Linked DNA regions of Medicago truncatula. The main gene of each other region encodes a partner of the protein of the gene in region 2 in a complex. Links are inferred from orthologs where the notes say so. Each region holds a gene or a part of one and is shown on either strand. Other genes may lie near its edges.

The links. Proteins that work in one complex are often made in the same cells at the same time.
Region 1: actin-related protein 6 (region 2) and SWR1 complex subunit 2 share a complex: the UniProt entries of both Arabidopsis thaliana proteins name them as parts of the SWR1 chromatin-remodeling complex. The link is inferred for Medicago truncatula from reciprocal best matches to the Arabidopsis thaliana genes ARP6 and SWC2.

Annotation. Positions count from the first base shown.
Region 1 is NC_053049.1:37,156,079-37,163,962, forward strand, and holds the start of SWR1 complex subunit 2, read right to left. Parts: upstream 3,049-7,884; 5' UTR 2,936-3,048; coding exon 2,711-2,935; intron 2,616-2,710; coding exon 2,310-2,615; intron 1,786-2,309; coding exon 1,713-1,785; intron 1,608-1,712; coding exon 1,488-1,607; intron 1,402-1,487; coding exon 1,333-1,401; intron 284-1,332; coding exon 241-283; intron 1-240. UniProt on the Arabidopsis thaliana protein: Component of the SWR1 complex which mediates the ATP-dependent exchange of histone H2A for the H2A variant H2A.F/Z leading to transcriptional regulation of selected genes (e.g. FLC) by chromatin remodeling.
Region 2 is NC_053043.1:24,224,067-24,231,120, forward strand, and holds the start of actin-related protein 6, read left to right. Parts: upstream 1-3,989; 5' UTR 3,990-4,089; coding exon 4,090-5,013; intron 5,014-5,100; coding exon 5,101-5,164; intron 5,165-5,524; coding exon 5,525-5,609; intron 5,610-5,721; coding exon 5,722-5,772; intron 5,773-6,749; coding exon 6,750-6,812; intron 6,813-6,886; coding exon 6,887-7,016; 3' UTR 7,017-7,054. UniProt on the Arabidopsis thaliana protein: Component of the SWR1 complex which mediates the ATP-dependent exchange of histone H2A for the H2A variant H2A.F/Z leading to transcriptional regulation of selected genes (e.g. FLC) by chromatin remodeling. Binds to the promoter region of FLC chromatin.

The sequences.
Region 1 (7,884 bases), on a different chromosome or scaffold from region 2:
TATCCAATTTGAAATGACTTTAAATCTTAAATCTATTCTACCAATTTGCCTATTTTTTTTAAGATTAAATCACTTGCAAAGGAAACCAAACTTGAAAAGCATGTGATGTGCACAAGATATTGTAGGGTAAAGAAACAATTATCAAGTAGTCCAAATTGCACACTATGTGCCTCTCTCATCCTAACCAGGGTAGTGAATAATAAAGCAATAACCACAATATTGGGTAAGTGAGGCTCTTACTTGGCAGGCAAACCAGTAATCACGCAAACAGGTTGTTCTGGATCTGAAAAGAAATATCAATATATCGTATAAGTAAAAAAACAAATGAAATAAAAAAAAAAATATAGTTATTTAGCTACATAGAATTTCCTGATGCTGGGTACTTTTAACTCTTCTCAATAGTCTTTCAAGTTTTATCACATTTTTTTTTCGTCTCCCCCTACCCATTTGTAAGGGTTACCAACTTGCCATCTTTAACCTCACTTGTTATGAAGGCATGTGGTGGTAGTATGATATATGATTTGTCAATCATTATCTATATAGTAGCTACCCTAACTTTAAACTAATTAAACCATCAATTTTTTTTTTGTATCGAAGCTTTTCCAACTTTTTCTCTAACGAATTCAATTTAAACCTATCCATCTCAGTATGCCCACTCATCCCATACTCCATTCTCATTCCTACAACCATCATCTATGCTCATGATTGCAGTTTATTTCCCAACATTTCTGATCCATACATAGTTGCAAATCTTACTAGGATTTCGTAAAACTTTTTCTACTTAGAGGCGCATACAAACACCTGAAGCATTTCTTTACTTCAACCTGTCCTGTTTGGATATTGTGGGACATTATTATCAATCCTTTCTTTTGTAAGATAGACCCTAATTATCTAAAACACTCAGTTCTGGGTGCTCTTCCTTCCTACTCATTTTTTACTATACATACTCTCGTCCATCCTTCTTCCTAAACCTAACTAATTTTTGTAAATTCGGTATTTGGACAAATCAGGAGAAATCCCTTGGTCTCCAAAACATTTATGTTCAACTGCATCTTAGCACTTGTTATAATGTCATCAGTCTAATCCAGCAAAACGATGCCATCTGAAACAAAGCCTCTACCAAGGTCCTTCATTTGGAATATGTCCAGTTATTGTCTATAAACTAATAACAATAAGTCAAACAAATAATGTATTGTGAAAATCAATGCCGTAACAATTTCTTTGGGAATTTAATTTCACACTTTGAGAACTTTATGAACAAAGAAACAGAATATATTACATTCTTCAACAAAAAAATGAACCAAAATATAGTGCTAGCATAAAGGGACGCACATTCTTGAGGTGTTGTGGCAATATCTGAGTGAAATGATGCCCCTTTAGTAAACTCCAAATACGAACAACCTGGAAAAATTAACAGATTGCTATATGTCAAAATGGCAAGAAACCAATACAATCAAACTAAATGCACATGGAATACAGCATCCAACCATTTTGTGATATGTAGTGTATCTGTGGACCATTAAAGACAGTTTTATGCACAATTGCTCTTCTCTTAACTTCTTCCTCTCTAGCTAAAACTCGCTCCAAATTCCTCAAGTTCATAATTTCTGCATGGCCAAAATCATAATTGAAACATCACAGGATCTTTAGAAAACTAAAACAAACAAACAAGCAAAGAAATCAACAAGCAGATGTTGTTTTCTAATATTGACCTGTTTGAGCAGCTTCTAAAAGCATCTCCTCTTGTGACATTTTCTTCTCCTCGCCTTTCTTCCTTATTACTGGCTGAGCCAAAAAAAAAAAAAAAAAAACATTTTCAGACCATAATCAGGTGTTGTTTGGAACTTAGGTAAACAACCTAATTCAGCGCTTCTAACATAAATGCTTATCATATAAGTGCTTATGTATAGTCTATTTCTATAACAAAAGATTAAAAATATTGACAACTGTTTTCATATAATAAGATAAAATCCATTTACACAGGGTTTGTTAAGATTGCCTTATTTTATCTTGTCTACTAGCATAAGCACCTGCGATATTGTTTAGAAGAACTTATGCCATGTTCATAAGCTGTTATAAGCTTATTTCAATAATCTTTCTGGAGTAACTTGTGATAACAGCTTATAGCTTATACAAAAGCAGTTTCACTTCATTTTATCTATTGTTGTGATAAGGTGCAAATTAAGTTGTTTATCCCACTGGATGAGCACGAATACAGTAATTCAAACAAGCATATAATTGAAAAACTGATATAACATGAAGAATTGAAAATAAACCCTAAGGAATCACAGAAAAAGAGAGTGGAGAACCTTATAGGTTGCTTTGAGAGCTTCACGAATGGCTTCTCTTTCAGCTTGTCGAACAATGACGGAAGTTCTTGTGGACTTCCTAATCATTACCTCCTTCGCATCATCGTCCTGGTTGTTGTTCTTGTTGTTTTTATCATCATCTTGGTCATCATCACCATCAATTTTGGGAGGATCATCCAAATTAGATAAGATTTTCTTCTTCTTCTTCTTCTTAGCCGATGTCGTTTTCCCAGGATATACCAATCGCTTCTTTTTATTCATTCTTTCATCATCGTTTTGTGGCTGCTCCTCGTCAGGTTCAGGTTCCTGAGAAAATCAAGAAGAATTAGTTTAATAGAATTGAATTGAATTAACTAATCGATGTGAATGAGTTTGAGAGAGAGAGAGAGAGAGAGAGATACGTCTTGATCGAAATCAGAGTCAAATTCGTCAGCGATTTCAGCTTCTTCTTGGTAGTTATCGTCTTCGTCTTCTTCTTTGAGAGCATCCTGACCCCAGAACAATTCATCTTGTTGAACTTCGTCGTCGAGAAGCTTGGAAAGACGTTTACCTCTTGTCGCTCGAGATGCACGATCCAGGAGTAGAAGATTCGATCTCTCTTCTTCGCCTGAATTTTTTTCCTCCATTGTACTAACTCGCTTGCACTCTGCTACCTTCTGTTCAGTGTTAACAGTTACGCCGGAACCTTCTTTTCTTTTGTACAACCCACTCTCACATATTCGAGTATTTTATTTATTTTTTGACAAAACATATTCGAGTATTGAATTTGAGGTAATAGTCATTTTCTTTCGGTAACAAATACCACAATAGTCTTTCCTTGTACACTTAGTTGGTCAACATTAACAGTTTTTCAATATAGTTGCTTGCACTTATTTATTGTTGGACGGACAACCTCAAAATAAAAAGAAGAAGCGTCAAATTATTTTGAATAACAAAATACACAATAATCATACTATTTTGTAAGAGTGAAGGACTATTTTGATTAGTCTCTACACATTTTAGAACCAAAATGATTATTATATGGTTGAATTTGCCTTGTATTATACTACATTGATTTTTCATAGAGTTTTGGTAATCAATGTCCTAAGGACATTGTTTAAGGATTTTATTAAAGAAAATTTTGTTTTGAAAATACAAGTTGTTCATTTTTTCATAGTGATCGAGATTCTTTTTTTTTTTTTTTAGCAAAGGCAAAGCTAATTCATTTCATTAAAAATTAACGGATACAAAGTAGGTGTTACATGATGAAAGATATAGGGGCTAGGGTGAGATAGTGATGCTCTAGCAATACTATGAACAACTCTATTTGCTTGCCTCCTAACATACGACACTACAAAGTCGGGTCTATTAAGAAGTAACCTTCTACATTGAGTTACAAGATCACCGAACTCGTTGATGGGAATAGTGGTGGCAGCAATAGCATCAGATAAGATTTTTGATCGAGATTCTTATATCCCTATAAGTTGTTCGTCTAATCAATGCAATGATTACGCAACTTTTTATAAATCTACTACTTTTATACTTCAATCAATGTCATATGAGCACTCGTTAACGTTACTTTTTTTTATAGCTTGTTAACTAGTGCCCTTAAGACACTTGTCAAAGATTCTAAAATACAAATAACTGGTAAGTTTTATGTAAAATAATTAGTTTTTCTTGGTTACAATGTATTGAATGTATCAATTCTAATACGAAAATTCTTCTTTGTACTTCTTAACAATTGTCTTTCATTTTCCTTTTTTATATGGAGAAATGATATTTGTACAAACATTTTGGTACAACTTTGTATAATTTTATCTCTCATACTCACATTATGATCTTATTCTCTCTTTATTATTTTTGACCCAATAAAAAGAGAGAACAACAAGGTTGTCCCAAAAATTGTACCAAAATAGTTGTTCAAATATCATCACTCTTTTATATAATAGAAATAGAATATCTCCACACCACACAATTGAACAGATTAATCTCATTCAGCTAAATATTTAATTATTATATATTTATTACGATTATAAATTGTCTCTCAAAAATATTTAGAGAATTTTTGTTGACACATCGCATAAGGCTGAGGCACACGAGTAATTTACATTTTTGTCCCCTCGACAGTGCTGAGGAATTCAAAAACCGGCTGCAGTTAACTGCCGAGGAAATCCTCAGTAGTTAACTGCCGAGGAATATGTTTCATCAGATGAAACAGTCATATGCTCCCCCTACATACTATTTTCATCATCAACTTCAATACCACCTCCATTCAATCCCCAAATCCAATATTTTTTTCATCAAATCTTGATCTAAAATCATTCAAGCATCAAGCATAGGAGGTATCAATACACTTTTGACGTAAAAAAACAGGTATTGAACATTTTAATCAGTTCATTTTTTAGTTTTGTTATGGATATCTATGTCAGTTACGTAGAACTCTGTCATGGGAAACCTCGGCAGTTAACTGCCGAGGAAAACTTCAGTAGTGTAGTGCCGAGGAAAACCTCGGTATTAAGGTGCCGAGGAACTCTTGTGAAAAATTTTCACAACAAAAAAATGGCAGTTACTGCCAGTTTTTCAAAAAAAAAAAATTGTTTTTTTGTTTGTTTTAATTCATTGTGGCATTGATGTTTATGCATTAGTTAGTTGTTAATTCATATTTATATGTTGTTTAATTATAGTAATGGTAGAGAACGCGGAAGATGTTCCGGGAAAGACAAAACCAAATTTTGTCGAATTTTCCGGAGATGTCAAACTGCCTAAGGTTGAAGTGAAACCAAACATTGATGGAGCTTCCGTCCATGTTGAAGCTTCAAAGTATGTTGGCGGCTCCGGTGTCCTCCCACTTCAAGCCCACGAGGTCGACACGACTAGGTTTTTTTCGGACGACGTTAAGTCGAAAGATAGAGAAGAATTGCTTGAGTGGGCGCGTCGTCAAGCAAATAAGGCGGGATTTACAATTGTTACACAAAGATCAAGCTTGATCAATCCAATGTTCCGCCTAGTGTGTTAAAGGAGTGGAGCGTACAAAGTGTCGGAAAAAAACCGAAGCATGCGAGAATGGGCTCAAGAAAATGTGGGTGCTTGTTCATGATTAGTGGATATCAAAGTAAGCAAACAAAGGAATGAGGATTGAACATTCTTAACGGAGTTCACAACCATGCGATTGAGCCAGCTTTAGAAGGACACATTCTTGCCGGTAGACTAAAGGAGGACGACAAGAAGATTGTACGTGACTTGACCAAGAGTAAGATGCTTCCAAGAAATATTTTGATACATTTGAAGAACAAAAGACCACGTTGCATGACAAATGTGAAGCAAGTGTACAATGAACGTCAACAAATATGGAAGGAAAATAGAGGCGACAAGAAGCCGTTGTAATATCTAATCTCGAAGTTGGAGGAGCACAACTATACTTATTACTCAAGAACACAAAGTGAAAGTACTACAATCGAATATATCTTTTGGACTCATCCAACATCCGTTAAGTTGTTTAACAATTTTCCAACGGTTTTGGTTATGGACTCCACCTACAAAACCAACATGTACAGGATGCCAATGTTTGAGGTAGTTGGGGTCACTTCGACCGATTTGACATATTTGATTGGGTTTGGATTTGTGACGCATGAGAAAGAGAAAAACTTTGTTTGGGTTTTAAAAATGTTGCGTAAACTTCTTACGTCAAAGATGAATATGCCTAAGGTGATTGTGACCGACAGGGATATATCTTTGATGAAAGCGGTTGCAAATGTTTTTCCCGAAAGTTATGCAATGAATTGTTACTTTCATGTGCAAGCAAATGTTAAACAAATGTGTGTCTTAGATTGTAAATATCATTTGGGAAAAAAGGATGGGAAAGAGGTGAGTAATCGCGATGTTGTCAAGAAGATAATGAGGGCATGGAAAGTTATGGTTGAATCGCCCACTCAAGAGTTATATGCAAATGCATTAGTGGAGTTCCAAGATTCATGTAGTGATTTTCCACTTTTCAAAAATTATGCCATGATCGCCTTGAATGAAGTGAAGGACAAAATTGTGAGGGCATGGACATACCATGTGATGCATCTTGGTAGCAGGACCACCAACGTGGTCGAATCGGCTCATGCTTTATTGAAGAAATATTTGGACAAATGTGTGGGTGATATGGGTACTTGTTGGGAGAAAATACATGACATGTTGTTGCTTCAGTTCACTGCGATAACAACCTTTGGTCAGAGCGTTAGTGTGTTGGAACATAGATTCAAAGATGTCACTTTGTACTCCGGGTTAGGTGGTCATGTGTCTAGATATAATTTGGACAACATTGCTTTGGAAGAGACACGTTGTAGGGAAACATTGTGCGTGGACAATGAAATTTGTGGTTGTGTTCAAAGGACATCTTACAAGTTACCATGTGCATGCGAAATTGCTACTAAGCTCCTTGAAGAGAAGTCAGTTTTATTGGATGAGATATACCACCATTGGCATATGTTACATATGGGCGAAGAAAGTAACGAAGTTGGTTTTTGTGTCGAGGTTGAGTTGAAGGCTATTGTAGAACGTCTCAAGAAACTCCCTTTCCAAATGAAGCTTGAAGTCAAAGAGGGTTTGCGGCAGTTGGCATTTCATGAAACCACCATGATGTCTCCACCACCACGAAAAGTACCAACCAAGGGAGCCAATAAAAAAGTCGACATTGCGAGGTCTAAAGGAAAAATTACATCGACTAGTCGGATCCCTTCTTCGTGGGAGGTTGTTGATTCCCAAAATCCGGATAGTCAACCGTCACCATCACCAACAACATCGTCATATAAAAGGAAAAAAGGTGCTCGTCTTGGTAAAACATCGCTTAACCCACTTCCACCACCTACTCGGTATCCAAAGCCTACGGGTATCCCGGTTATGAGGCCAATTGATTATATGCCACGTTTCATGCTTCCATTTATTGAAAAAGTGGTGGATGTTATTGGCGATGGACATTGTGGATTCCGGGCTATAGCCGAGTTCATGGGCTTGACAAAAAAAAAATCATCTCATGATCCGTACACATCTTATTCAAGAGTTGATAGATCATAGAGATGATTATGTTGAAGTGTTTGCAGGTGAGGATCGTTATAACTACATTTTAAATGACTTACATCCTCCCGCAAATACAAAAAGTTGTGCACATCTTGTTGATAAGTGGTTGACTTTTCCGGACATGGGACACATTGTTGCTAATTATTACAAAAGGTGTGTGGTCGTGTTGACAAATCTTGAAGTTGGAAACTCGGAATCTTTTTTCCCACTAAGAGGGCCACCACCGTCGGGTAATCAAAAAACTCCCATCTTGTGTCTTGGGGCAATTCCGAATCATTTCATGCTTATTTATTTGAAGAATGGTTGTCCACTACCTCCATCATCTACGAAGCGGCACAATCACAAGAAAGAAGATGCGGTGACTTGTGAAGATGAGTATTTGGATCAACATGAGTTGTTCTGAAAGCTCATGGCTATTGAAAGTGGAAACAAACCGCCGAAACCACAAAAGGAGTCAAACAAAGCGGCACCTATTTTGTTGGACACTCCCGAAAAACCAATGCAACAATTTGAAGTTATTGCGGAAGATGAGGAA
Region 2 (7,054 bases):
TAATCAGATTAGGTCTTGGATCAGTCAGTAACACTTTGTATAGTATCTATCGATTCACTTAATGTGATCACGACACTTTAATGCTTAATGTGAATGATAATGCTCTTACTAATCCAAGGAAAGCACTGGTTAGGGGTCTTATGCGTAATTATGGTGGAACTTTTTAGTTTAGATTATATGGGACAATAGGTTGGTCAAATTTGCTTCATGTAGAGATCCAGACACTCCTTGTTAGTTTGAGGTTTTGCTGGTAAGTTGATTTTAGAAAGTTTCCTGCTATTTTGATTTATTTCATATGATGTAATTAGCAACTATGGACTCATATTGCTTTCAACATTATGTTAAAATGTTGGAGATTATTTGAGATTACATGAAGACGGATTGAAATTTTACCCTCCACCGCAATCTTCAAAAGGGGAATGTTTGTGTAAATGTTCTAACAAAGTTGGAAGCTAATGGTATGGATACCTTGGTTATGGTTCATGAGTTGCCTCCATGTTTTTCACCAGCCTTGTTAGTTGACGCTATTGTCGTTAGGGGTGTTCAAAACATACCAGCCAATAGAAAATTGCAAACAAAAACAACTGAAATTGAGAACTGCAAAAAATCGTGTTTGGTTCGAATGTGTTCGGGCCAATTTTACCTAACCGTGCGGTACAAATTAATTTTCGAATTTTGTTTTGCCATCTGAATCAAATCCCATCCTTAAAGAAACATTCACTCCACTGATACACAGTCTATGTCACCCGTACCAAAGTCGCTTAGCCAACTCACTCTAATGATATTAGCATATATTCCTAATATTATTAGAAATCTTGGCTATAATTAAACCGGTCATAAGAAAACCCAAAAACATGTATAACAAAAAAAATGGACTAGGTTTTTAACTGATTTGGATCCTCCCTGCTCATTCTCTCATGTTGCCCATTATACCATAAGCTTGGCCATTCACTTAACTTATTTTTCTCTCTTCTTTATTATATTTTTTCATTTATAGATCAATCCACTTTTGGATTATGAAAATGATAGATGATTGAACAAAAAGAACATGAAAATATCCAAATCAGTTTTAATAAAGTCTTCTTATGACGTATAAAAGACACTCCTTAGGTGGTGTGTTATTTCTCATCTTTGTGTGATGTATTTTTTTATTTCTCATCTTAGTGTGATGTTTATCTGATTCAAAATAAAAGACTAACTTTGATTAAATACAAATTCAATCAATGACTTTGATGTTGTCAACGTTGCAGATCTAGAGTCGTGAGTATTCTAAAGACTTAAGGGTTAATAGTGCTTTACCCCCTGTAATATAGGGCACTTTTGGTTTTGCCCCCTATAATTTATTTTTTTTAGATTCGGTCCTTGTAAACAGGCCCGTTCCTAGAGTTTTACGGGCCTTAGGCATAATATGAAAAAAGGGCCCTTACATAATGCATCATAATTTTTTTAGCTCATTGTTGTGTTTTTTTGCTTTTCATTTCGTTTTTTTATTTTGCTTTTCTCTAACAAAATAAATGTTTTTTTAAGACAACATTTGAAAATAAATTAAATATTCTATATACACCAAAACAAAATAAAAATACCATAAAAGTAGAGAAAAGTAGCACATGTGAAGTAGACTGAAATTTTAGCACTCTATTTTCAACTAAAATAGAATTTGCTGTTACGAAAATTATCCCAATTTCTTGGATAATAAATATCGTCGATATGTTTAATATTAGTGAAGCACATTATTAGGAGCAAAGGGCCCAAAAAAATATCACCAATTTCTTCGATAATAAATTTTTTAGCATATTATCAAGAACAACCAAATTTTTTATAGGAGGGTGTATATAGAAAATTGTGTTACATGGGATATATATAGCAAATCTCACTAAAAGGGCAAAAAATACTAACAAATGTCAGCCCATTCCTTTATCATGTCAAAGTTTGGATCTTTGAAGAGAAATTTTCTATATATACCCCCCAAAATCCAAATATTTCTATATACACCCCCTTACCTTAAAAAAAATTTGGGCCTCCTACCGGCATGGGCCCTAGGCCGTCGCACTCGCGGCCTATGCCCTAGGGCCGGCCCTGCTTGTAAAACAAAGATTCTTCAAATTTTCCCCCTAAGCTATGTGACTCACCAGAATCTCCTATGTGGCGTTGACATGAATTTTTTTTTAAAATTTTAATTTTTTTTTGTTAGCCATGTGTATTAGTGATTATCTACATCTGATTTCATTAAAAAATATGAAAATTAATTTTCAAAAATTATAAAAACCGAATTAATTAGGAAAAAAATTATAAAAAAAATCTCAAATTTATTTATTTTTAAAATTAGGTTCCATAATTTTTTTAAATAATCTTCCTAATTTTGAAAAAAATATGATTTTTTTATTTTGAAAAAGATTTCATAAAAATTTAGGAATAAAAGTTTCAAAAAAATATCTGAATTCTTTTCTAAATTTAAATTTTTTGAAGAAAAAAAAAACTGAAATTAAGATTTTTTGATTAGAATTAAAAAAAATTATATTCAGATTTTAAAAAATTAAAAAATAATCAAAATTCTGGAACAATATTTCAAGATTTTATTAAATTCAAGAATAAACTTTTCAAAAATAATAATCTGAAATCTTTCTAATTTTAACATTTTAGAAAAAAAATCTGAAGTTAAGATTTTAAAAATTATAATTAAATCGAATTGATTTAGATTATATAATTTTTGAAATTTTACTTTCATATTTTGAAGTGGAATTTTTAAAAAAATTACCAGATTTTTAAAAATTAAAATATTTTCCAGACTTTTTAATTTCTGTAGAAAAAAATAAAAAAACTTTTTTAATTCAAAAAAGTCAGAATTTTTTATAATTTCGAAAATTAAATTCCATAATTTTTAAATATCTTAATTTTAAAAAAAATAAGAACGTTTTTCTATTTTTTTAAATTTTAAAAAAAATCTAAATGTTTTTTTCTTATTATTTTTAATTTCTGAAAAAAAATCAGAATATTTTTTTATTTTTTATATTTAAAAAAATTAGAATTTTATTTTTCTAATTTTTCAATGTTTTGAAAATTAATTTTCAGTTTTTTTGAAAAATATTTTTGTTTCTTTAAATTTAATTTTCTTTTTAGTTTTTAAAAATTTCGAAACATTAAAAAATAAAAAGAAAAAGCCACGTAAGTGCCACATCAAAGATTCTGCTGAGTCAATGGCCTTATGGGGCAAATCTGAAGAATCTTTATTTGACAAAGATCGAATCTAATTTTTTTTTTTACAGGGGACAAAACCAAAAGTGTCATATATTACAGGGGGTAAAGTACTCTTTTGTTTTTTTTGGTCAAGTAGCCTTGTGGCTAGAGCTCACACAATTTAATTGTGGAGAAGTGGAGTGTCGGGGTTCGAACCCCAGCTCCTGCATATAATATGCAATATCCCTACCAACTGAGCTAAGCTCACGGGGATGGGGTAAAGTACTCTTAACCCAAGACTTAAATATAACTATATTTGTAGACATATATGTACTCTCCCATTTACATAAATGTTGAAAATTTGTTCACCAATTTATTCTTTTTGTTTTTAAAGATTTAGAATTTGTATTGCATCAATGTACCATTCATTTAAACGTTTGAATATAGTTTATTTTTAAAAAAAATCCTAATAATTGTTTTCAATATTTTTTTGTGGGTTGATCCGGTAGGTCTGCTCCCGTATATGCATATATGGCTTGACAAACCCATCTTTTTTAACCCGGCTAACTGGATGAAGTTGTGGATGTTTTCACTAATCTAGGCCACATGTGCTTCGAGCTTATGAAAAATAACTTATGTAAATAGATAAGGTTTTATTTTAATTTATAAGTTTTTACTAACAAAAATTGTATCTTCATAAACGGTTTTTCATAAACTACTTTATAAACTTATATATAATACATAAAAACTCATTTATTTACATAAGTTATTTTACGTAAGCTCTAAAACAAGCTAATCCAAACGGGCTACTAATCGAATATCGATTATTCATTCATCTACCTTAAAAATGAAAGTGTAATAATTCATAAACCGACTCCACAAGTTAGGGAGTAAGCAACCAATTCAAGTAACAACATGTCGTCAAGCACGCAGGTGGTTGTTCTAGACAACGGCGGAGGACTAATAAAAGCCGGTTTCGGCGGCGAACGCGACCCATCAACCATACTCCCCAACTGTCTCTATAAACCCCTCACCTCCAAAAAATGGCTGCACCCAAACCCTATCAACACCCCTTCCTCCTCCTCCTCCTCCTCCTCCTCCGAACAAGACCTCACCTCCGCCTCCGTCCGCCGCCCCATCGATCGCGGCTACCTAATCAACCCCGACCTCCAACGCGATATCTGGTCCCACCTTTTCACCTCTATCCTCCGCATCAACCCTTCTCAATCCTCTCTCCTCCTCACTCAACCCCTCTTCACTCTCCCTTCCATTCAACACTCTCTCCACCAACTCGTCTTCGAAGATTTCAATTTTTCCTCTCTCTTCGTTGCTGATTCACCTTCCCTTGTTCATCTCTACGAAACTAGCCAACGTCCCAATGGCCTTCTCTCTAAAGCCCAATGCAGTCTCGTTGTTGATTCTGGCTTTTCCTTCACACACGCTTCGCCTGTCTTTCAGAACTTTACTCTTAACTACGCTGTTAAGCGTATCGATTTAGGTGGTAAAGCCTTGACCAATTACCTCAAGGAACTTATTTCCTTTCGTTCTGTTAATGTCATGGATGAAACTTTTATTATTGATGATGTTAAGGAGAATCTCTGCTTTGTTTCTGTTGATGTCGACAAACACCTTAACCTTGCTAGAAAGAGTGGGAAAGACAATGTTTTCAAGTGTACGTATGTTCTTCCTGATGGTGTTACGCACACAAAAGGGTTTGTTAAATATCCAGAACAAGCAAGCAGGTATCTTGCTGATGGTAAGGACGATATCGGTGATCACGAGGAGATTTCTAAACAACAACCTCAGGACAATAGACACAAAGTTGATTTGACAAAAAATGTATTTGTTTTGTTGGAATTTTGTTTTTTTAAGTTCACATTCATTTGTATCGATTTTATTAACTATTTCTTGCTTTGTGTTCTCTAGGAATTTGATTTGACGAATGAGCGGTTTCTTGTCCCCGAGATGATCTTCCGTCCAGCTGATTTGGGTATGTCTTTGTTAGTAGTTTCATTCTAGTGCTGTTTTCAAATTAGATTAGATGCACAACATGATTTCAATAAGGCTTTGTCCTTTTATGATTCATGAAATTGTGAAATGTTATATTCGGTTGGGGAAGATGTGTCGCGGATGTGATGTGTATATGTAAAGTGTCTATAAAATCTTAATATTGTAGTTGCAATCACAATTGTAGAATGTAATACAGAACATTGGAATTTTAGTTAAATATTTGGTTGATGAGTTTCCTAAGTGGATGCAAATGAGGATCTTAGTCTAATTTCATTATTTACCCCTTCGTGTTAGGTTTTTCTTATGTTCTCTGCAAAATGCTGAACGAAATGATTTGCAGGAATGAACCAGGCTGGGCTACCAGAATGCATTGTACGAGCAGTTAATGCCTGTCATCCGCATCTCCATCCTGTACTCTATGAAAGGTAAATTTGGTTTGATTTCCAACCATTTGATTTCATGACCCTGTTTGAGAATTGTTGCCTTTTCTTACTTCTCACCCTCGTATTTTGACGATGTGTTTACTTTCTTCGGCAGCATCATTTTAACCGGTGGAAGCACCTTGTTTCCTCATTTTGCCGAGAGATTGTAAGTTTTTTGTTTCGGCTACAACACTTTGTACCATACTACCATAATTTTTTTTGTTAGGTGGGCATGGTTTGTTTGGTTTCTTGATACCAAACCAAATATTTTTACAAATTTTTATGGATAAGCATTTAGATTTGAACTTTTTTATTTTGTCGTCAAACTGATTTGGTTTATGGTGAGCCGATTTTAAACTTGTTTTGGTATAGAATCAGTTTCACAACTTATTTTAAACCTCACTCAATGATGTGAAGTTTTCCCAAGGTAATCAAGCCTCAACTCAAAAGAGGCTATCACCACCTTCCACTTCCGACGTGCCACTTCATAGTACTCCTCCTCCCTATTAAATTTCGGCTTTCCCTCTGTCAACACCACCGGTATCCCCATTGTGAAAGCTCACCGGTTCAAATTCCAGCTTTCCCTCTGAGATCAGCAGCAAGCTCCCAAAACCATAAGCAATATTGCAGATCTTTGCTCTACTGTGATATGCTGGATGCACGTTGCTACAAAATTGAGCCTTGAAACTAGCAAAGGGAAAACCAGAAAATTAACTAGCCGAGAAATTAATAATGGAATTAATTTTTCTCTTACATGGATGGATATTTTTGGGAACCAAACATGAAATAGGGGAGGGAAATGAGATGTACCAGTTTCGGAACTTGGGCGAGGCTGGTGGAATGTAGTCCGTGATTTGAGAAATAACATATCTAGATCACAATTTTTGGATTTGGAATTTGAGAGTAAAAGTGTTTGGACTATTTACGAAATCCAAATCAGAATAATAAACGGATTTGATTTATCTATTTGGTGAAATGGTTTGGTTATTTTATCTGTGATTTACTTCAGTTTCAAATTTGGTTTGTTTGGCAATATTGCCTTTTCCAGAGACCCCTATTTTTTGCCACTTTGGTGTCCTATCTTTTATGTGTACTTCATAGCGTGATTTACAAGTTTAACTAATTGATTATGAAATTTTGTAGAGAGAAGGAGCTTCGGCCTCTAGTTCCTGATGACTATCGTGTGAAGATAGCTACACAAGAAGAGTAAACATCTTTCTTAGCCTATTTAGTTTCTTGTACGTTTGTAATTTCTATATGAATTAACGGTTCTTCTATAGTCCCCTACTAGGTGTTTGGCGTGGAGGATCTCTCCTGGCATCGAGTCCAGACTTTGATGCGATGTGTGTGACCAAGGCTGAGTATGAGGAGCTTGGTTCTGCTAGATGTCGCAAGAGATTTTTTCATTGACAATTCATGCCATGAATGTGACCATGTAAATCTTGTAT